4 linked regions of the Drosophila melanogaster genome follow. The protein of the gene in region 1 interacts with the protein of each later gene in a pairwise test. Each region holds a gene or a part of one and is shown in the gene's direction. Other genes may lie near its edges.

What was found.
Region 2: the proteins of P32 (region 1) and CG14418 interact in a two-hybrid assay, tested with the Drosophila melanogaster proteins (one large-scale study listed by BioGRID).
Region 3: the proteins of P32 (region 1) and Hakai interact in a two-hybrid assay, tested with the Drosophila melanogaster proteins (one large-scale study listed by BioGRID).
Region 4: the proteins of P32 (region 1) and fkh interact in a two-hybrid assay, tested with the Drosophila melanogaster proteins (one large-scale study listed by BioGRID).

Annotation. Positions count from the first base shown.
Region 1 is NT_033778.4:17,669,958-17,674,782, reverse strand, and holds P32 (P32), read left to right. Parts: upstream 1-2,142; 5' UTR 2,143-2,248; coding exon 2,249-2,453; intron 2,454-2,573; coding exon 2,574-2,918; intron 2,919-2,976; coding exon 2,977-3,218; 3' UTR 3,219-3,474; downstream 3,475-4,825. Other genes in the region: Sema1b (semaphorin 1b), read left to right, coding at 19-211, 275-473; IBIN (induced by infection), read right to left, coding at 3,558-3,683; CG30109 (uncharacterized protein), read right to left, coding at 4,277-4,396, 4,455-4,601.
Region 2 is NC_004354.4:2,881,155-2,886,103, reverse strand, and holds CG14418 (uncharacterized protein), read left to right. Parts: upstream 1-2,442; 5' UTR 2,443-2,470; coding exon 2,471-2,552; intron 2,553-2,636; coding exon 2,637-3,538; 3' UTR 3,539-3,878; downstream 3,879-4,949. Other genes in the region: CG14419 (uncharacterized protein), read left to right, coding at 233-820.
Region 3 is NT_033779.5:19,579,332-19,584,423, reverse strand, and holds Hakai (hakai), read left to right. Parts: upstream 1-1,949; 5' UTR 1,950-2,053; coding exon 2,054-2,417; intron 2,418-2,520; coding exon 2,521-3,068; coding exon of another isoform or gene 3,069-3,092; exon of another isoform or gene 3,093-3,138; coding exon 3,139-3,648; 3' UTR 3,649-3,812; downstream 3,813-5,092. Other genes in the region: CG10366 (uncharacterized protein), read right to left, coding at 1-78; PCNA2 (proliferating cell nuclear antigen 2), read left to right, coding at 497-604, 739-1,398; Pmvk (phosphomevalonate kinase), read left to right, coding at 4,294-4,367, 4,471-4,966.
Region 4 is NT_033777.3:28,579,760-28,587,567, reverse strand, and holds fkh (fork head), read left to right. Parts: upstream 1-2,303; 5' UTR 2,304-3,014; coding exon 3,015-4,547; coding exon of another isoform or gene 4,548-5,093; 3' UTR 5,094-6,592; downstream 6,593-7,808. UniProt on the Drosophila melanogaster protein: Fkh promotes terminal as opposed to segmental development. In the absence of fkh, this developmental switch does not occur. The nuclear localization of the fkh protein suggest that fkh regulates the transcription of other, subordinate, genes.

The DNA of each region.
Region 1 (4,825 bases):
TTCGCATTTCGTTGACAGATCCCCAAAAGTCTACGGCCAGTGTAGATGAAATCAAATATGCTTCAACGCCCAGCTTCATGCTACTTACAACTATCGTTTTCTTTACCTTCCTTGTGGGTGGAATCGCAGGAATATGCTGTGTGAAGGCTAAGAGCCGCCTGATGGAGGCCCAAATGGATGAAAGTCACCGCAATCATTTCGGCAAGCCAATGTAAGTTTTATCTTGGAAGATGCAAATCCATATTGGACAATTCTAATTAAATGGTTTTGACAGGCAATTTAAACATCAAAATACTGGCAAAGACATCAACCTGTTAATGGGCTCCAATGCCTATACGACCACACAAAAAACACCTAATCTGGATTTAGAAAAGGATCGCAGTCATGAGTGCAAAAACTCCACGGAACATTTGGAAAAAGAGCTGCCCTGCAAAACGTCAACGCTGACAAAAGTGAAACGCACTTACATCTAGTGGCCTTGTGAGGGCAGCCAACTGCAAAATTAGTCGAATTTCTATACTCTAAAACATATTTTCGTTGTTTATGTTGCTGTTAGTTATAGTAACCCCCCACCCAATTTGCGAATAATGTAAACGACAGTCTCGGATGCGTTTGAAACGCATCCGAAAGATAGGAAGCAGAGCTGTTGCGTCTTTTTTACTTAGCTTGTATTGTAATTTAATTTGATGTAAAATTTGCGTAAGCTTAGTTTCTTTGTCAAAATTTAGTTAAATTTATTGACAACGTAGTGTGCGGGCTGCCGCAGCCTGGAGCTAACCCGAAGCATTCCGCATTCCCCTGACGTCGACCTTTGCTGTCCAAAATAGGAGTGCCGGCTCTTGGCTACGCAGCCCGATTGTGTCGCCCCTTATGTGTACTCTTAATGTATAATCTTTAAGTGCAAATATTAGAGCTGTACAAATTTAATCACATATCATGCATACCGAAATCGAACCCGAAGCGGACCAGCCCCAATTATTTCTCGAAATTCAATCGAATATTCAACAAGTATTTTGTTAGACTGAATGATTAATTATTCTATATGAGTTTGTTTTGTGGAGAACTAACAGAATGCGACAGAGACTTTAAAGCTCTATGCTTTGTGGCTAACAAAAGCGTAAAATTGTATCTAACATAAGCTCTATAAGGAATTGAACATAGAATGTAATTAAAAGTACGAACTAGGCTAAGAAACGAAGAAAACTTCTATGAGGCTGTTTGATAAGAACTGACACCGCAGCCCCCACATCATCAGATGGAAAAACGCACAAGAAAGCGAAAATAAATGAACACTGCAACAACAGCAAGCCTTATAAATAGTATAAAATCGTGTCGAATCTAGGCCTTAACGCTAAACTTGTAAGCTTTGGATGGAAATAATGAGCTTGGTTGGCAATCAACGTAAATCAGCATTTTAATAATTTTATGTTTAATTTCTAAGCTGTTGTCCGTCCCACTAAAGAAGTTGCATAAATACAATGTACAATGGCAATTTTATTTTTAAAACGTGTAAAATGCAATTTTCATCGTAATTAATATATTTTTATACGTATATGTACGCCTAATGTCTAAATCTTAACATAAGAAAGTCTTAAAAATGGAAAATCCCGATAAAAGCTATATATAAAATATTTTTAAATCTTACAAAAAAAAACGTAATGTAATGATTTCTCATATTGTGATAGATTTTATTGAAATTTTAGAAAGATGAAATGATATGCCTTTTGGTTGAAAAACAATGATATATATGACGAACGAGTCTGATTGCATGCATGATAATATTGCGTAGGAATGGGTCTTCCACTCGGAGGATCAAGAACCAGAGAAAACCCTTCATGGTGTTTAGTTTTTATTACTGTGTATGTCCTTGTAATGTGTATATTGTTGTATACATCCGATAAGCAATTCGTAAATCTAATAAAGTCGTCATTTTTTTCATAACTCAATGTGGTCTTTTAATAGGTTCGGATCTATGAAACATTGAATTTTTACAGCAAATATGGTTTGGTTATATTTATTGAAATCAATCATTTTTCCAATAAAGGCTAATTTCAAAATTTGAATAGTTTACGATAAAGCCTTTCGCGCCGAAAAATGATCGATAACTTCTGATATGGCTCTACAATACATCAGCCTCGTGATTTTCTGAATAAGATTCAACGGTCACACCAGGCACTACACTTTTGGCGTGTTGCACATTTCAGTGTTTAATTAAAGTAAAAAGCCCAGGTCGCGGTTATATAACAAAATGAACAGCCTAAGGACAGCAACCATGCGATTTGCCGCTCTGGCCAGCTCCAGTGCCGGATCTCTCGGCAAGCGCGATTTCACCCGCAGCCTGTGGCACATGACCAAAAAGCCGGTGACAGCCGGAGGATCCGATCATGTAACCGTGTTGAATCTCCACAAGCCCAGCATTAATTGCACGTGCGGCTGCAACGTGCACACCAAATGTAAGTTAACTCAACAAATTCTTACATGGGCGGTCCATGCCGCCGGTTACATAACCTCAAACGTTGGGTGACGAAATGTTGACCAAAACACAGAAAATTAAACGCTTTGTTTATATCCAGGTGAGCGGGAACTGGTGGAGTTCCTCACCGAGGAGATAGTGGCCGAGCGCAAGGTTCAAAAGGGCAAGACGGTGCCAAGCACCCTGGATGGATTCGCCGTAAAACTGACCGGCGCCGATGTGGAGCTCACCAAGCAGACGGATAAGGAAAAGGTGGTGGTCAGCTTCAATGTGAACCATACGGTGGACAGCGAGGAGGAGCCCGAAATCAACCCCAATGCTGACAAGCCGGATCTCGGTGAAATGAGAAGCAAGCCCCAGTTCGAGGTGGACATCATAAAGGGCAACTCTACGCTGTCCTTTACCTGCAGCTTCCTTCAAGGCGAAGCTCAGGAGGGCGAGTACAGTGAGTACTTTGACAGAAATCGTTTTGATTCACCGATAACACAGGTTTTACCTTTCAGACGATGTCTTCTCCATTGATGAAATGGCCATCTTCGAGGGCGAGTGGAACGATAAGGTCTACGCCGTCGCAGGCGACGTGCTTGACGGTTACTTGTACGACTTGCTGATCAACTTGCTGGAGGAGAAGGGCATCAGTCAGGAGTTTGCCGAAAAACTGTCGGACCTAGCCACTGCCCATGAGCACACTTCCTACATTGGTCTGCTGGAAAAGCTCTCCAAATTCACTGCCGGTGGCAAGTGAATGTTCGTCCCACTTAATCTTAAAGCATAAAGTTGTGTAGGTTTTTAAGTTTCTATTGTCTGCTGTCGCAGTTTCATCACCTAAAACAGTTTTTATTAGTTGTGTTTTTGGTTTAACTGTGACAGTGAAACTTAGTTTTTAAGCCATAAAACATTCATACATGTTTCAGATAAAACTATAGAAACGGTTGCCAATAATTCACCCTTTTCGGCATCAGCTTCGCTTTGGTTTTTAACAAATACAACGTTAATTCCCTAGTTTTTTTTTTTGTTTATTTTCTTTCTATGGTTGCATCGATTTTTCGTAAAGATTTTCCTGTGGGTTGAGTTTCGTGATCATTTAGAACTGCCGGAAATATGGCCTGGGATCGTAGTCACTTGGTCGGTATCCTCCCCAGTCCTCGTGGTTCTTGCAGGCGGCGCAGATGAGGAGAGCGAGGAGCACGAGGATTGGCAGCAGTTGCATCTTGATTAACGGCAAGTTAACTTTAGATTGTGGTGCTGCAGCTTTTAATGCTCCTCTTTATAGGTGAGATTGCCTCACCTTATCGTTGAAATAGTGACCTTTCTCTTGGGGAAGTACTCCGATCTGTTTATTGGGCGATGGGATTTACCATTAATGTACGACCTATATGTGTTATTGTTTCACAATAAGCAGGATTATCAGCGTGGAGGCCATGTAATGTCATACTTTGTCATTAAGATGGATTTTATATATTTCGTTAAAAAGCTTTTTTTTATACGACCAATAATAAGAACTGCGACCATTACCTAATCATAGGCTTGTATATACTTCTAAGAAACTCAAAGACGGATTCTGTCTGAATATAACATTTTTTATAGTTCGCTACTTGAACTTATTTATAAAACATTCACTAAATAATTTACATAAGGATACGAGTCATGGAACTAAACCAAAGCTGCTTCTGGTACTTGGTAGACCTAGGCTGTTCCTCCACTCTGGTGTCGGCGCTGATTACCGGTGAGGTCATTGTGTCCCGGGTTCTGGCCCACTGTGGATTCAATGCCGTTGCCAGGATGCTGGAGCTGCGTAACGGGTCAACTTTTTGTCTTGGGTTGCGTCTTTCCGCCGGAACTACTCGCATTGTCGTACTCCGAGCCGGTGCAGTACTCAGATCCGACCTCCCGCAGCTCAATCTTTTGCTCCCTCATGGCGCGCTAAAGGTCAAAGATTGGGTCAACCAGCTGGATGATGAAACTTGAAACCTGGGCTTACCTTGACGCACTCCTGATAGACCCGGAAAATCGGCGCGCAGCCCGAGTCATCCGTCTGGCCCTTAAGGAAGCCTTCCGAGAACCAGCTGTTGAAGCAGGCGTCGTACTGCTTCTTTAGCTCATTGCAATCCTCGCCAATGCTGTTCATTTGTGGAGTGAAGCTCTTTGAGTTTCAGTTATAATTTCTCTATTGAATAATAAGTCGAAAAAAATGTGAGAATGGTTTGTGTGAGGGTCATACTACAGATAAGCTATCAGAGATGTGGGACACAGCATATCGATGTACGTTTCGTTGAAACTGAACGTGCTATCGAAATTTGAATTTTCAATTCTTTAAGAACATCTAATTTATTTTAATAAAGGCACTCTGGT
Region 2 (4,949 bases), on another chromosome or scaffold:
CAGAATTGCTTTAAAAAATTTCAATGTATAATGACAATTTATAGACGTTTTTCTATCGGCCAACCAAAAAAAAAAAACCAGTCGTACCGTCTACGCCCATCTTATGCAAGGGGGGGCGGGGGGGTAGAGGGGCTGGGGCAACAAAAACGCGCTAAGTGCCGTCTATATAAACAAACGCCAGGCGATGATCTCCATTTAGTTGTCTAGTCGAGGGAAACCAAATCAGACGAGAATGCGCGCTTCCATACTGTTTTTCGGCCTGCTGCTGGTGGCCAGCTGCTCCACGATTTTGGCCAGGCCACAGGAGAGCACTACGCCGAGCACCACCACCTCAACCACCACCACCACGACGACTCCGAAGCCTAAAGAGTCGTCTACAACCACTACGACTACGACGACGACAACGGAAAAGCCCAAGTCAGAGTCCACAACTGCCAGTACGACTACCACAAGCACCACCCCGAGCACCACCACCAGCACCACTCCCAGCACCACTCCCAGCACCACTCCCAGCACCACCCCGAGCACCACCACAACCACTACTACGACCACCACTCCAAAGCCCGATGATGATGAGGCCGCCAAGCTGCTGCAACAATGTGCCGAGTTGAGCCGCCGGAAGAAGCGGGGTGGATCTTCCTCGTCCGAAGAGGACGACAGTGGCGAGAAGAAATCGGCAAAGAAGGAGCGCAAGCAGTTGAAGAAACTGTGCAAGCAGTTGAAGAAGCAGCAGGAGCGCAAGCAGGAGAAGGCCCAGAAATCGGCACTATCGGAACTGGCCGAGGCCTTGAAAAACTACAACCAAAAGCAGAAGAACTAATGTGCCAATAAATCTTTTTTTTTACATTTTTTTTCTTTGTTTTTAGTGTACTTTATAATATTTATCAAAAAGTATGCCAATAAAATGGATCTTTAAATAAAAAGCACACGTTCTTGCTTCATTTTTATAATATCAAAATGTAAATTTAAATGCTATACTATTCTCTGATTAAGAACAGTTTCCTTAAAAAAAGTAAGGAAGTAGTTAGCATAGTATTATCCACCTCGATTCGACTAAAAGCGTACCTTATGTTTTGTACTAGACTAATGAACCCATATGCTGTATAAAACAAACAAAAATATGCGCTGATACAAAAGTATTCATTTTTGTCGTAGATTTTTGAATATGGATTTAAACATGAAATGAGCACGTGAAAAACCGACGCGGCAGCTTTCTGAATGAAATCGAATAAATCTAATCAAATTTGTTTAGATTTTCCCTTTTTTATCGTTTCTATTCCAACGAGTAAAGCAACGAAATAGTAGAAAGTACAAACAAATTTGATTTGTAATCGATTTTAGCTTTATTTGCCTGTACATTAGCACTGCATACGTCAAAATAAATCGTTGAAAACGGGAAAAGTTTTTTTTTTTTATTCATATTTTGCGGAAGGAGAAAGTCAATTTTTCGTAGCATAAATTACATATATACATATGCATATCTGTGTATGCTTTTGCTTCCCTGATTAAGCCAAACTATTTGTTGTATCTACCGCAAGTCGCGCCTAACTTCTTAGCTTGGCAAACACGTTTATAAAGATTAATTATTATTTCTAAAAAAAAACACACAGCCGCCAAGCTCGAGCTAAATCAAAATAAAACCAGACCCGTTTTAAAAAAAAAAACCACATATCTAACGCTGTAACAGCCAATTTTACACGGGCAGTTCGCACGGAGGAAATCAAAAATTAACACGAAACACAACTTTCCAGCCCAACAAATTATGTTTGTATTTAATTCGACTTGCTTAGATCTTCGAGTAAACACGCTTCACTATTCTCTATATTTTTTTTTCTTTTGCTTTTCTGCATAGTTGAACACCTTTTTGCTGTTGGCCAGCTTTGGCTTGAGGTCAATTTGAAAATGCGGGCTGCCGACCAAGAAAGCAATTTGCATAATCAACATATGAGAAAACCAAGCGCAAAGAGACGAGAATTTTTGGACAGCGGCGAAAATCGAAGAAGAAATATGAATGCTAATTAGTTTGAGCCATTGAACTCTGCTCGTTGGGGAGGGGAAAGTGGCGGAAGTGGTGTAGGAATTAACACTAGATAACTGAAAGAAATCATAGCATCTTAGCATAACTTTGTCTTTGTCTTCAATTAAAATATATGTATTAATTAAATTACTGGTACATGAACCGTAGAAAGCCCCGTAGAACGCATTGCATAGCTTTTGTTTCTTTTCACAATAAACTAGTTATGATTTTGGTACAGTGTACGCCCTGGCTAAATGGGTCGCTCCTAACCATTCTCCGGCTGACACGCTTTGAACTCGCAGACTTAATTATGCAAAAATCCCAAAGCGAAAGAGGCCGAAAAATGATTCTGGTCGAAATGCCGTTAGCCACAGAGTCACAGAGTTAATATAACCCGGGATCGCAGCTTGAAATGCGATTCAGTCGATCGAGAAGCGAACAAGAGCTAAGATAATGATGTGCGGCAAGGGATTCGGGATGATCCTGGTCCTGATTTGGGCCACGGCCCTTTCCAGCGACCTCTCGCTGGTGAGCGGTAAATTTTTTTGCCCTGTTTTCCTTGCAACTTGAAGGTATATGAATGTGTCTCCCCCCTTTTTTTGTTTCCGTGATGCCAAAGGTCAAACGGTGGCGCCGCTGACGAGCTCCACGAGTGCTCCACCCAAAATGGAGGTCAAGCCCACGAAGCCCATGATTGTGAATGCTCCGCCAAAGAAAGTGCAACTCACGGAAGCAGCTCCGAAAAGCAATGGCAGCAAGCCGCTGCAGGTCACCGGTTTCATCACCAAATCCGGCAACATCTACGAGATTGAGGACAAACGGGGCTCCATTGGCTCCATCGAGGGTCGCCAGGCGGATCAGGAGCAGATTGTCTGCAACTATGGCAACGTGGTGATCTACAGCGATGTGCCCTGTGATCAGGTGAAGAATGTGCGCGTGGGCGAGGTCAAACCCTTGAAGGATGATCGCGTCGAGGTTACTACTGAGAAAAATCATGCCGATGGCGAAGGCGAACAGCAATCGCAGGACATGCAACAGGAGCAGCAGCAGCAGGATGCAGCTGAGGACCAGGATCAGGAGCAGGACCAAGACCACCAGTCCGTGCAGTCAAACCATCCCAGGGGTCAGCAGAACAATCGCCGACGTCGCCGTCGTCCGCAGCAGCAGCAGCAGCAGCAAAGGCTGCAGCAGCAACGCCGTCGGCGACAGCAGCAACAGAAGTTGCAGCAGCGACGACGCAATGGCAACGGCAATGGCAACAACAGTTTGCGTCGTCGTCGCAACCGCAACAACAACAACAACAACCTGAAACGCCAGCAGCAGAGACGTCGTCGCCCTGGCAACAACAACAACAACAACAGGCGACGCCTCAACAACAACAACAGCAACAACAACAACAAGCAGCGACAGCAGCAACACCGCCGTCAGCAGCAACAACAGCAACGCCGTCGCCGTCCAAACAGAAATATCAATCGACAGCAGCAGCAGCAGCGTCGTCGCCTTCACGACGACAACATCTGAATGGGTTAAGAAATGGGTTAAGCTAGCCACGGCCCACGACCAACGGCCCACGGCCCACAATCTACGACCTACGACCTCTGAACACACAAACTCCACGAATAAAGCAACAACAACAACAACAACAAACGAAAGCAACATTACAAACGAAAGCCCCAAATGGAAAATTCACTTTGAGTTGGTCTTTTTGGTCCTGGGGAATCAACACAGGGGCAGTAATTAAAACAAGTGCAGTCCACGATGAGAAGGAGATGTCGGGCGGTTAGGAGGTTGCTAGGACGGGGTCAGCTTAAGTCCGAGAATAACTTTAATTCACTGGAATCGAAATGGATGCTTATATCTGATCCAAGGCAACAGCGGGTGGCATGAACCGGAGATTACTCCAGAAAATATGTTGTTTATTTTTCACAAAAAAAAAAAAAAAAAAAACAAATAGTCAGTATTATTTCTACAACAGTCGAGACTGTTTATCCAAATATCGAATGTCATATAGCAAAGGGGTTGTGGTGTAAACATTCCAATCTTCTGGTAATTAAACCCGTAAAAGTTCCAATTTCCCTTAAATGTACAGACCCTTGAAAAATGGAAAAGCTGGCAAAATATTCATGCCCCGCATATCAGCATGAAAGTGATTTTCGGATTTTCGTTTTGAAAATAAACTCTTTTCCAGCAATGAATAACCAGCATCAGCATATATAATATAAAATGCTTTCTGGCAGGGAACTTGCATTCGTATAACTATGCATAACTACGCCATACAAATCAAGTACTAATATTAAAATGTCAGAATTCATTCTAAAAGACATCTTATAAAATCTCCCCCTTGTTTCTTATTTTTTTAATCACTCCCGCATGAGGACGATCAAAGCGACCGCAGTTTGTTTGAATTTGGGGACCGACTTTGTGTTCGGCGTTGCCAGCTTGTCACTTTAATTGTAACTAGATTTTCGACTCGACTGTGCGCACACACCCTCTTGCATTCAGATATATGTGTATGTACGTAGGAGCTATATATATATATAAATATATATATGATATATATATAATTCTGGGGCTTTTCGGAGGGTAAAAATGAAGGGGTCGCTTGGGGCTGCGATGTCAACGTCAGCATCAGTTACACGAAGAAATTTGCGCGCTTGGGCCCAGCGCACTTAACACATAAAACAAACAACAACACGAGGGGGGCGGAGGGCGCCGAGCGGGGAGCTCTGGGCGGCAGCGGGCGTGCCAGTGCAGAAGGGGCGTGGCAGGTGTGTGGGGGGGGCGAGAGTGCTGTGAGCCAAGCGCGGCAAGAAAGTCATTCAAAAGTCAACCAACTTTCTTTTGAAACACGTTAAAGAGCAGCAGTGAAAAAAAATCCAGTGCACAAAACGATGGGTTGTGGAGGATGGTGAGGGGGGGGGTGGGTGGCTTA
Region 3 (5,092 bases), on another chromosome or scaffold:
TCGCCAGTCGCTGCTGGGATTTCGATCGACATGGGGAGCCGCCGGAGCAGCGTGCATCTCCACCTGCGCGGCGGCCATCGGGGAGCTCAGCAGTTGGTTATAAATAAACAAATAAATAAATAAAGCGTAAACATATTGGATTGGATGGCTGGATCCGAGCTGGAACTGGATCTCGAACTAGAACTGGAGCCGGAACCAGTGTTGCAGATGCTGCCAGATCAGTCGGATTAAGTGATTTCAATTGGATACCCTTAAATAGAAAAGGATTAACCTACAGCTTTAAGTCAAATTCTAAGATCTATGTTCACTAGCTTCATCATCAGACATCAAATGAACTTAAATCCGCAACCGAAACTAATCTAACAAGCTTTGTTCTTAACTCCGCAGCAGTCCGGCATCTCTACACTTGCAGCGAAACAGCTGACTGGCTTCATTTTGTTTGTTTCCAATTGTGAATTTAACGGGACAGCGATTGTCAATTTTGAAAATTGGAAAAATGCTCGAGGCGCGTTTGAGTCAGACTTTGCTGCTGAAGAAGATCGTCGATGCACTAAAGGAAATCATCGCCCAGGGAACGCTGGACTGCAGTGAAAATGGTCTGGAGGTGAAGAGAATAACCCTCCATCTGTCATTTTGTTTCGAATTCCCATAAAAGCTGTTAAGTAGTTCCATTGAGACTTGGGACTGAAAATGAAAAGTTGAGATAAGAAATAAAGCTTTTACAACTCTATATTCCAGCTGCAATCGATGGACAACTCCCACGTTTCGCTGGTGGCCCTAAGTCTGGCTTCGGATTGTTTTGAAAAGTTTCACTGCGATCGCAATGTCTCGCTGGGCTTGGATCTGAAATCCCTGGGCAAGGTGCTTAAGTGCGCCAATAGCGACGATGCGGTCACCATTAAGGCCGTTGACAGACCGGAGAAGATTACGCTCAGCTTCGAGTCGGATGGCAAGGAGCGCACGGCGGACTACGAGCTGAAGCTCCTCAATCTGGACCAGGATCACATGGAGATTCCGAAAAAGGACTACACCTGCTTCATCCAGTTGCCGTCGTCAGAGTTCGCGCGCATTTGCCGGGACATGAGCATGTTCGACGAGTCCCTGACGATCGCCTGCTCCTCGAAGGGCATCAGGTTCTTGGCCAAGGGAGATCTGGGCACGGCCAACATTCAGCTGAGTGCGGGCACCGCCATGGACGTGAGCATTGAGGTGCAGGAGCCCGTGACCCAGTCCTTCGCCGGTCGCTACCTCAACACCTTCACCAAGGCCACTCCGCTGGCAGATCGCGTCAAGCTCTACCTGTCCGACGAGCGGCCACTCCTGGTGGAGTATCCCATCGAGGATTACGGCCACATTCGATACTACCTTGCACCCAAGGTGAATGACCCCGATTTCTAGCTGAAGAACTACTCAACTCAGTTATTGCATAAATTCGAGCGCAATTTAAAGCATAAGGAAAGGGGATAAACGATATTTTTAGGCAACAAATACCAAAAATCATTTTTTTTAAAGCATAGTATAAAAATATAACTTGTAATAAAAACTATTTAATTGTAATTAAAAAAACATTTTACAAATTCAAATTTATATACGAAAAAACTAATTTTAAACCTTGTTATTAATTATTATTAAGTTTTTAAGGTTATCTTAATGTAGATCTCACATTTTCTATTCAGAATACTTTTGTTTTTTCATGTTGAAGCTACAAAAGAAATTAGTAAGCTATTAATATGATACAAGAACGGTTAAATAGATGCTTATAATTATTGTTTTTTTTTATGTTTTTTTTTACATTCATTAAATTCAAATTAGTTTAAAAATAATTGAAAAACAGATAAAATTAAAATTAAACAAGTAAAAATATTGTATTTTAAACTGACCAGTGATGCCGGACCTTTTGATGGCCAGTGTTGTTAGGCGCAGACTGGTCACCCTAAGTTACTGCACGTATGTGGGAACAGCTGACAACCCTGGCCAAACGCAAATGCGGAGCTAAACAAAAACCGAAAAACTTAAAAACCGGCATAAAATCCCACGCAAGTACAAGTGAACAATGGACACCGAGGAAGTGAAGCGCGGCCGCGGACGAGGGCGTGGCACCAGGGCTCGCGGGCGCGGACGTGGCCGAGGACGCGGTCGTGGCAAGAAAATCGACGACAGCAGCATCGCCGACGCCGCAGCCCTGGCGGCCAGCAGCTGTGCAGCCCTGGAGGACAGTCCGGGAAGACTGGACGCCTCCGAAGATTCGGTCATGCAGGAGCTCGACAAGGACGGCGAACTGGAAACGCCCGGCGCTCTGGAGGAGCCCCTGCCGCACGGTGCGCTAGGAGCGGTCGCCGCCAGCGGGAACATGACTCCAGCGACGCAACAGCCACAGGTCCTGCAGCAAGTGCCACCGCCCGTGATGAGCCAAACAAGTGAGTCTCCTCCCCTATTGAATGGTTGTCCAAGATAGTTAAATTGATTAACATCTTGGCTTGACCAATTCCTTGGTATCCAAACTTGAAGCATTGAACAAAGCTATCTCGCTATCTCTCGCCCGCGCAGTCGACATGGAGGCGGACATATCGCAACTGGAGGCGCCCACTTTCACCACGCTTTCGCGCGGACCGCCGGAGCCGATGCTGCGCCTTAAGTGGAACCACAAGGTGAGCCTGATCGGCGAGAAGGTGCTGAACCCGATGATCCACTGCTGCGATCAGTGCGACAAGCCGATCCTCGTCTACGGCCGCATGATACCCTGCAAGCATGTATTTTGCCTCAAGTGCGCCCGCGCCGAGCCCATCAAGAGTTGTCCCCGCTGCACGGACAAGGTGTTGCGCGTGGAGCAGAGTGGCCTGGGCACCGTGTTCATGTGCACGCACGGCGGCAGTCGCTACGGCAGCTCCGGCTGCCGTAGAACATACCTTTCGCAACGCGACCTGCAGGCGCACATCAATCACAGACATGTGGCGCCGCAGCCGCCACCGTTGCAGCCACAGCCGCAGCTGTCAGCCATGGCGGAGCAGCCAAAAATGACGGATCTGGGCGGCGTCGGTCTGGGCCTGGAGTTGCACAAGCAGCGCAAGGCGAGTGGTAGCTATGGCTCCTAAACTAAGCTGTCCTGTCTATAAAAAAACAACCGCTTGCCCCTTGCAGCTCTCCGAGTCGTCTGTCCCCATATCCGTTTCCGCCTCCATTGCGTCCCGTCCCGTCCTGTCGCGGCTGCCACTGACCGGCGGTGTCGGTAACATCGGTAGTATTGGTAGTATACCGCCACCAGGATCCGCCGCCGCCGCCCAAAACGCCATCCACGGCGGCCACTCGACGCTCACGCTGGCCAATTTGACCAGGATCAACAATGCCAATGCGCAGGAATGTCACCAGGGCAAGGCCTCGCTGCACCACACGCTCAAGAAGGGCACGCCCCACCAGTCCGAGTCGGTGGCGGATGCCTCCTACTACAGCAGCGTGCTCGCCTCCTTTGGCAGTGCGGCCGGGAATCCGGGTTCTGGGCCACCCGGCGGTGGGGCAACAGCAGCAGCACAGCCCGCCAATCCGAGTGGCAGCCATTCCGCTGTTGGCCCAGGTGCCCTGATTGGAGGCTCCACCGACGCGCCAACTGGTGGCTCGAGTGGCAACTGGCAGCAGTCGCAATACTACAGATAGGGGGACGAAAGCGAGGGGCTAGTAACCAGGGTAGACGCTTTAACGCAGGCACGCAGGCTTTTAATTAAGTGAACAAGTGTATGTTAAGCTGAACTGAACACTATTAAAGATATTTTACGGGGTTAGGCCAACCCGAACCAAAAAATAAATGCTACTCCGGTTTTAAAGCTTGGGCTAAACTTAATTCTTAATGTAGTAGTGAAGTGGTTATCGTGGCGAACAAATCAGGATAACAATTTTATGAATACCTTTGCGGTTCTCAAGCTGAACGAAATTCAAAAATCCCGCCCGATTGGCGGCCAATCGATGACGGTACGGTTTCCACTCGAGCTGAATGAAATTCAAAAAGCCCGCTCGATTGGCCGCCTATCGATGACGATACGCTCCAGCTGGTTGCTGTTCCAGCGAAATACAAAAGGTAAACAAATGCGACTTGGAGCACAGACTTCGAATGGAGCATTAGCATAAACACAACAGGCCGCAGTGCCGGAGTCAAGTGGCAGGGCCCAGGGTGAACACAACCACATCCAGTATCTGATGAGCACAGCGTAGAACTTAGGAAATCGAGGCCACAAGCAGAAGCAGCAGGAGAAGCAGCGGTTGTGAAAGAAGTTGGCGAGCAAAAGTGAAAGTTGCGCCAGAAAAATGATGAAAATTGTACTCATCAGCGGCAAGCGAAAGTGCGGCAAGGATTACATATCCGAGAGGCTGCAGCGGAGGTGGGTGCAGTGCATAGCTAGTCGTAGAAATCTTGCCAATTTGTTAAATTTGCACTGCTTGCTGCAGAAATATTCAGACAAATAAAATCCAATTCCATTCCAGATTGGGCTCCCGGTCGTGTATCGTTCGAATCTCAGAGCCCATTAAGTCGGAATGGGCTCGCAAGCTGCAGTTGGACCTGGACGCTCTCCTCGGTGATGGACCCTACAAGGAGAAGTACCGGCGCGACATGATTGTGTGGAGCGACGAGGTGCGGGCCCAGGACTACGGCTACTTCTGCCGCGTGGCCATGGAGGAGGCGCTGAGTCGCCAGCAGACGCCCTACATTCTGGTCAGCGATGTGCGGCGCAAGAACGACATCAGGTGGTTCCGGGAGACTTACGGGCCGGAACGAGTCATCACCTTGCGTCTAACATCCCGTCCAGAAACGCGGTCTGCACGGGGATGGACCTTTACCGCAGGAATAGACGATGTTCCCTCCGAGTGCGATCTGGATGATCTGGCCGACGGCTTCGACGTGGTGTTGGCCAACGACGAGGAACTCGACCAGGAGGCCATCGACATTCTGCTGGATAGGCTGCAGCTGCAGTATCGATAGAGCTTGGACCTCTCGGCTCACCATGCTTTGAACAAATGTATTTTTGATATATCACGTATTCCGGTCACAAATAGCGTAGTTAATGCAATACACTAGACAAGAATGAAGTTACGTACCTAATAGTAA
Region 4 (7,808 bases), on another chromosome or scaffold:
CGTCACATAAATGCTTAAAACAAACAGAAAGCGCAGCATTTTAAAGCCATATCAACGAAAATCAAAACAAAGCGGCAAAAAAGTAGTAAAGCAAATATTTTCCATAAATAACCATTTGGGGATGCGTTGGGCGCCAACAATTGAAACTAATTAAAAAGTTTGACCATGGCTTAGAGCCGAATACATCCGACTGTATCAAAAAGGCAGCCAATCTGAATCCGAATCGCAATGTAAATCGCCATGTGAATCCGACCTACAGTGGCGCGCTTTTAAAGCAAATAAATAAATAGATAAATGACTAAAGGTAAATAAGTACACATTTTTGGACTGCCTGGCATTACTATTTGCAGAGAGTCTACGCCAAAAAAGCACACATTTGATGCGCTCTGAACAACAAAAATACCTACCAACCCAACGCCCACACGGCAAACATTAATGAGCCAAAGCCACTTGAATTGCCTGTGAAATACAATAAAAATATTAAATATTTAAGCACATTACGGTTATTAGAAGTGCACATAAGGATTTGAGTACATATGTGCTCAGTCACCGAAAGTGTTTGATGTTTAATGATCATCACGATGGGATATAGATATCCGAGTGGCAAGCCAAACAATGTTAAACAGGTTAAATATTATGAATACCATTGTTGAGCGAAAGATTTTTTCCTGATTCAGTTTCGCTTATCTCTCAATCTTATCTAACCCATGGTTATTGTAAACAATTATTCAAACAATTTGAAGATAATCTTGAATATGATAAAAATATTACTCAGTAGTGCTTTTGTGAAGGGGAAACGGCTCTATATGACATAAGTCATTAGTCATTATAATTACTCGGAAATGGGGCGATCATAAAAATGTGATTTCTCCCACAAGCGAAATGTTTCATTACATTTCATTGATAATTTCAAAAATTCAATGTCTCAGCGCCTAGATGAAGGCTACAAAAAAGTGAGAGGAGAAAGAACTGCTGCATTGACAAATGGAAAAGTAATGCGGAAATTCCCCGCTTTTCCTCCCGCTCAGGTAGATCTTAATTGAGCAAAACATTCATTGAGAAACGAGACAATCGTCCTTTTATGACACGCAATAATGAGCCTGGCTCACACACATACACTCTCACGGATTGGCACACACTCGCACACGGACACACACACACAGGCACTCGCAGATACACTTGGCCAAGCGAAAGGGTTAAGCGGAATAGGAAAGGCGTCTATGGTTTATGGCCCGAAATTAGAATGCGTTTTATCCGGGACCATAAACGTGGATAAATTGCCAGGATACCAGGAAGTAGCTGCCAGCACGCGCTATCAATGAACTGTGGATGCTTATGTTTCGGGTATCTTAGGTAGGATGCAGTGGGATGCTCGGATGAGATGCGGCTGATGCTGGCCAGATGCAGAACTGGGTCACTTTCGCAATGACTTGCCAAAAAGGTGAACTGCGCCGCTGTTCTGATGATTTGCTGCTGCCGCTCGCGATGCCTCGCCACGAATGCGAATGGGAATGAATGAGAGTGACATTGGCATACCTTAACCTCAAAAGGGAAAAAGCGGTACGGATACGAAAAAAAACTGGCTGAAAAAACACACACAGATATTATTAAATGTCTTGTTTGGGAGCCAAACCCAGCCAAGCCAAGCCAGGCCAGGCCAGGCCAAAACACTCGGTCTTTTTGTTTCTCTCGAAAAACAGAGCGTCGTCGCATTCTCAGTCTCCCCAGAGATTCGGTCTCCAGAACCCGTCTTAATGGTTTTTTTTCCACATTTTTTCTTTTTATTTTCTGATAGCACGCTACGGCGAGAAGGAGAGCGAGCGATTATTGATCGCATTAGGGAAAATCGTTAACTGTAACATGGCGTCGCTCAGCATTAGGCTAGGCCACTGCGAATGTATCTGCAGCTGTATGCGTATCCGGTATCTCTGCCCGTGTATCTCTGTCCGCACCGCTGAGGGTGTGTGAGTGGAGGGCGTTGCTGACTGCGGCCTGGCCACGCCCCCCCAATGGCCAGTTGCCTGGCAACCGGCCCTGCTCTGTTGATACAAGAGGCCAACCGACCAATGCGCTTGCGCCGCAGCACCACTGTGTACGTAAGAGAACCGCCGCCTGTCATTGGTAACTCCGCCAGGGTGGTGGTGAGACGCACTATACCGCCGGGCCATTGGCGAGAACGAGTCGGAGCTGGTGCTGCCCGGGCGCGTCGCTGCTGCCGCTGCCGCCGCTGTCGACGCCGACGTCGGCCGAGGCACTTGAGCGCGGCTCGAACAATATTTGTTGGCAGCAAGCGCAAGCCAAATAGTAGACAAGCGTTCCCCTCTGCAAACAGTCACATTCAAGAGCTCAAGCCAAAGAGACACTCGAGCGGACCAGCAGCTAAAGCGGCAACGGCAACAGCAGCATCAGCCAAAGCAGCAAAAGCAAAAGCAGCAGCAGCAAAAGCAGCAGCACAGCACAGCACAACTCCCAGCTTCAGACTTCAGTGGCCAACAGCCAGCTAGATATTCACGTTCGTGCGTCGGTGTTTTGTGGCCGCTCGGTGCGGCAGACAACAAAAATCCCCATACAAAAATACAAAGAAAATACAAAAAGAATCGAATCATAACAGAAAATAAATATATATTTTATATGATTATCCCGCACAAATAATTAAACCACGGTGTGTGTTTACAAACAAAGCTTAGAATCAGAATCAGAATCGCAAACGGAATCAGAACCTTCCAGCCAACAAGTGACAAGTGCCGAAGTGCTCTCGATAAAATGCCAGATATATGCAAACCGATTGAAGCAGTGATAGTGCACTGAAATCACAGTTGATATACAATATATCAGAGTAAAGCCACGTTTTAAAGACCTCCTTTTTGATTTTCGTTTTAACTAACGCGTTGCAGAACGCGTTGCCTTTTCCATCGATCCACCAGAGGGCAGCGCCTCCGAAAGCCGGCAACATAACGGCGCAACTATTGAACAGCTTTCTGAAGGGTAGCCCCCACCAGACCACCATTGACATCATGCAGAAGCTCTACGCGGAGCCGCCTCCGAGCAGTGCTCCGGTGAGCATGGCCAGCTCGGGTGGCGGTGGTCCTCCGTCGGGCGGCGGTGGAGGCGGCGGCGGAGGAGGAGGCGGTGGGCCCCCACCGCCCAGCAATAACAACCCGAATCCGACGAGCAACGGCGGCAGCATGAGTCCCCTGGCTCGATCCGCCTACACAATGAACAGCATGGGCCTGCCGGTGGGTGGCATGTCATCGGTTTCCCCTCAGGCGGCGGCCACATTCAGCTCCAGCGTCCTGGACTCGGCGGCGGCGGTCGCCAGCATGAGCGCCAGCATGAGTGCCAGTATGAGCGCCAGCATGAATGCCAGCATGAACGGCAGCATGGGTGCGGCGGCCATGAACTCAATGGGCGGCAACTGCATGACCCCCAGCTCGATGAGCTACGCCAGCATGGGATCACCGCTCGGGAACATGGGTGGCTGCATGGCCATGTCGGCAGCGAGTATGTCGGCGGCGGGATTGAGCGGCACCTATGGCGCCATGCCGCCGGGATCCCGGGAAATGGAGACGGGATCGCCGAATTCCCTAGGCAGATCGCGGGTGGACAAACCAACTACGTACAGAAGGAGCTACACGCATGCCAAGCCGCCATACAGCTACATCTCACTGATCACCATGGCCATTCAGAATAACCCCACCAGAATGTTGACGCTCTCGGAGATCTATCAGTTCATCATGGATCTGTTTCCGTTCTACAGGCAGAATCAGCAGCGCTGGCAGAACTCCATTCGACATTCGCTGAGCTTCAACGATTGCTTCGTAAAGATTCCCAGGACGCCGGACAAGCCAGGAAAGGGATCGTTTTGGACTCTGCATCCGGATTCGGGGAATATGTTCGAGAACGGGTGCTATTTGCGGCGACAGAAGCGTTTCAAGGACGAGAAGAAGGAGGCCATTAGGCAGCTGCACAAGAGTCCGTCGCACAGCAGCCTGGAGGCCACCAGTCCGGGCAAGAAGGATCACGAGGACTCGCACCACATGCACCACCACCACCACAGCCGGCTGGACCATCATCAGCACCACAAGGAGGCGGGCGGAGCATCGATCGCCGGCGTAAATGTCCTGAGTGCAGCGCACAGCAAGGACGCGGAGGCCCTGGCCATGTTGCATGCCAATGCCGAACTGTGCCTCAGCCAGCAGCCGCAGCATGTGCCCACACATCACCACCATCAGCACCACCAGTTGCAGCAGGAGGAGCTGTCGGCGATGATGGCCAATCGGTGCCATCCGTCGCTGATCACCGACTACCACTCGTCGATGCATCCGCTGAAGCAGGAGCCCTCTGGCTACACGCCCTCCAGCCATCCGTTCTCCATCAACCGCCTGCTGCCCACGGAGTCCAAGGCGGACATCAAGATGTACGACATGAGCCAGTACGCCGGCTACAACGCCCTCAGTCCGCTGACCAACTCACACGCTGCCTTAGGCCAGGACTCCTACTACCAGAGTCTTGGCTACCATGCGCCCGCCGGAACCACGAGCTTGTGACATCACCAATACCCGCTGGCTTAAGGACGCGCGGAGCAGATGCTGCGCTCGCAGCAGCAACAGCACTTGCAGCAGCAGCACCAGCAACACCAGCAGCAACAGCAGCAGCACCAGCTGCATCAGCAGCAGCAGCAGATGCAGCAGTCGGCGCAGCAACTGACATCCGCTTCCAATACACCAGCAACATCAGCAAAGGCCAGCGGCAAGGCGGGATCGGCTTCGGCCTCGGGATCTGGGTCAGGATCGGGTTCAGGATCGGGCTCTAACTACTCACAGAAGCTGCAACAGCAGCACCAGCAGCAGCAACAACAGCAGGCGGCGGCGCAGCAGCAACACCACCAGCAGCAGCAACAACTGCTGCAGGAACTGCAGGAGGACTCATCGAACATCACCAGCGATCTGAGCGAGGAGCAACTGCAGCAGCATCAGGCCGCCCAGCAGCAGTTGTACAACAACTATCAGCAGTATGCCGCGGCGGCAGGCTACAGAAATTGGAATCACGGCCTGGCTTTCAATGGAGCCGCCGCTCTGCAGAATCTTCTGTAGCTATAGCTATAGATCCCGATCTCCACAGGCAGCGGCTTTGTAGCGGGCCTGCCAATTAGCGAGTGCAGTGGCGGTGGCTTTTAGCACCTGGCCGCATCCGCATCCGCACTCGCATCCTCATCCTTTGAGCACGTGAGTCTTGGGCCGCAACTCGCACTTGTACATATAGAGATACCTATGAAGAGCCGATCGAGAGCGCTGCCTTTTGTGTTGTTCAGTTCCAGTACTATATATTGTAGATTATATAGATTCTGTTCCGGGGGGTTATTAAATCGACATAGAGCAGGAGGAGGAGGAGCGAAAGAAACCGTGATGTAGTTGTAAGTGCAGCAGAACTTTTGTTAACAATTTTACGTTTTGCTAATACAAATACAAAATAATAATTCCGTGCCATTTGTTTTCGTTGTTTCGAAACAAGCAATAACAATCAAAGCGGTTATAACTGAAAATTTGAAATCACATTTTAAATGTATCCGATTAAGGAGAAGATTGAGGAGAGGAGATGTAAAGAAGGGATCGTGTGTAATGTTCTTTCATAAAACAAAGCCCCAAATGAAACAGTCCCAAAAAGAGAGATACAAATACTAAACCCTTTATCCAAAGGCAATCGCAATCGAATTCGAATCGCAAAAGATCAAAACCAAAAAGAAATCTAAAACCGAAATCATCATATTGAGCAGTCCAGCAAAACCCTAAGAATCTTCAACTATCTAAGCAACAAAATCTGGCCATGCATAAGAAAACGACACGTTTTAACTGAATAATTTAACAAATTTCCATTTATATATACGCGCATCGATATACGCCCATGTATCGCAAAATCCCGCATTTCATTTACATTATGTGTCTTCTGTTGTTGTACGAATTCGTTAGATTAAGGCATTTTGTAAATAATCTATAAATAGATACATTTAAGCAACCCCCTCCCCAAGAAACCCAATTTAACTAAGGACCCATTGCAAGCAACCAATTTTTAACTAACTCGAGAATTAATCAAATTGTATGAAATTATGCCACACCACTTGAAAGTAAACATAGTATAAATATAAATACTGTATAGCATTTAACGTTTAATTAGCATAAATAATGAAAGCAAAAAACAAAAATGAAAAAAAATCACATAAAAAGCGAAACTGCAATTATTATTCAATAATTTTTAATATTAGTTATATTGTGCGTAATGAAAAATAAAAAACCAATTGCAAACACAAAACAAAGACCCATTTTTACATTGAGCTAAGCTAATTAATTAAACTTGATAAAAAATAGTCTAAATATAAACACCCACACACACACACACATACTGACACTGACAGACACAGAAACAAATGAAAATTATTGTAAAATACACAATATAAAATTCAATAAATGTCAACGCAAGAATTAAAATCCAACTCTAAAGCTAGTAAAATTAATATTATTATAAATCATGCAAAACAAACACAACGTCAACGACAACCAAAATCGACTATTTTAATGTTTGAAATACAAGAAAAAGGAAAAAAAGTACCATAAATTAGTTTTCATTTCCCAACCTTTGTTGACTCAAGCAACTGACCTCCAACAATCATTTATATATTGATTGGGCCGCCCGGATGGCTGACTATCTCCATCGACGCTATCGACGCTATCAATGCAGCGAATTCGAATTGAACGACCGATAGCTGAGCTGAGTAGTTCCAGGAGTCGCTATCTTATCGCCGTCACTCAGATGCAGAGTGCAGTTTTCCACCACTACCATGCCACGATAAACCCTTATCGCCGTGCACTCATAAATTGCAACGGAACAAGAAGGTAAACAAACAACCAGGATGGGACATGGGACCCATCCCAGCCCATCCCATACCGTCCTATACCGACCCATTCCCGCCCGGACTTGACACACTGACTAACCCATCTCAGTCCAGCACAACCCAGCCCGATCCCTCTGGCCAAAAAGAGCGGGAAGGGTAGTGGATATCTTCTGCCCGACTTGACTCGACTCCCCTCTGTTTGCTTTCTAGTAATATTCATGGAGCACTACGAGCCGAGTTCGAGCACCTTCCCTATCGCTGCAATGGACCTTATCGCTGCAATATAACCCAACAGAGCCTGATCCGACGCAGTTCCCCCTGGCGAACTACTACCACCTTTTGATTAAAATCGGTGTGATTCATTTGGAAGAATCTACGATCCAGGTCCTACGATTCTCGGACATTCCGAAGACATTAAAATTATTGCTTATCTAGAGCTCGGGCATGAGCGTGTTTGACGAGCAGTTGTCGCTTTTAATTAAGCGAGAAGGTCACCATTTTCTATATGTCCATACGACACATTTTATTTATATGTATGTACATGTGTGCCTGTGGGGGCGACTGGACTGGCTTTAATACATTTTTTATAGCCTCCAAGCCGACTGGAGATGTTCCATAAAGAGTTCGCTTTGTTGTTTAGCTAGGGTCGTGCCGTCGACGGTATTGGATTGTATTGGACTGAAAATGGGTACGGCGGATAGGGGATAGGGGATTGGGGACTGTGGGATTGGGGACTGTGGGATTGGGGGACCTGGCGTATGGGCGACTTGGTCTGGGTCTCGGTCTCCAGCAAAAGCGACAACAAAATGGCGCTTCGTTTGTTGTCGCTTCAATTTCGATTTTTCCTTGACATTGTGACTGTCAGCGTTCTGGCGGAGTTTCTTCATTTTACCCCGGCTGGCAAACAACCCCATCTGGGCTG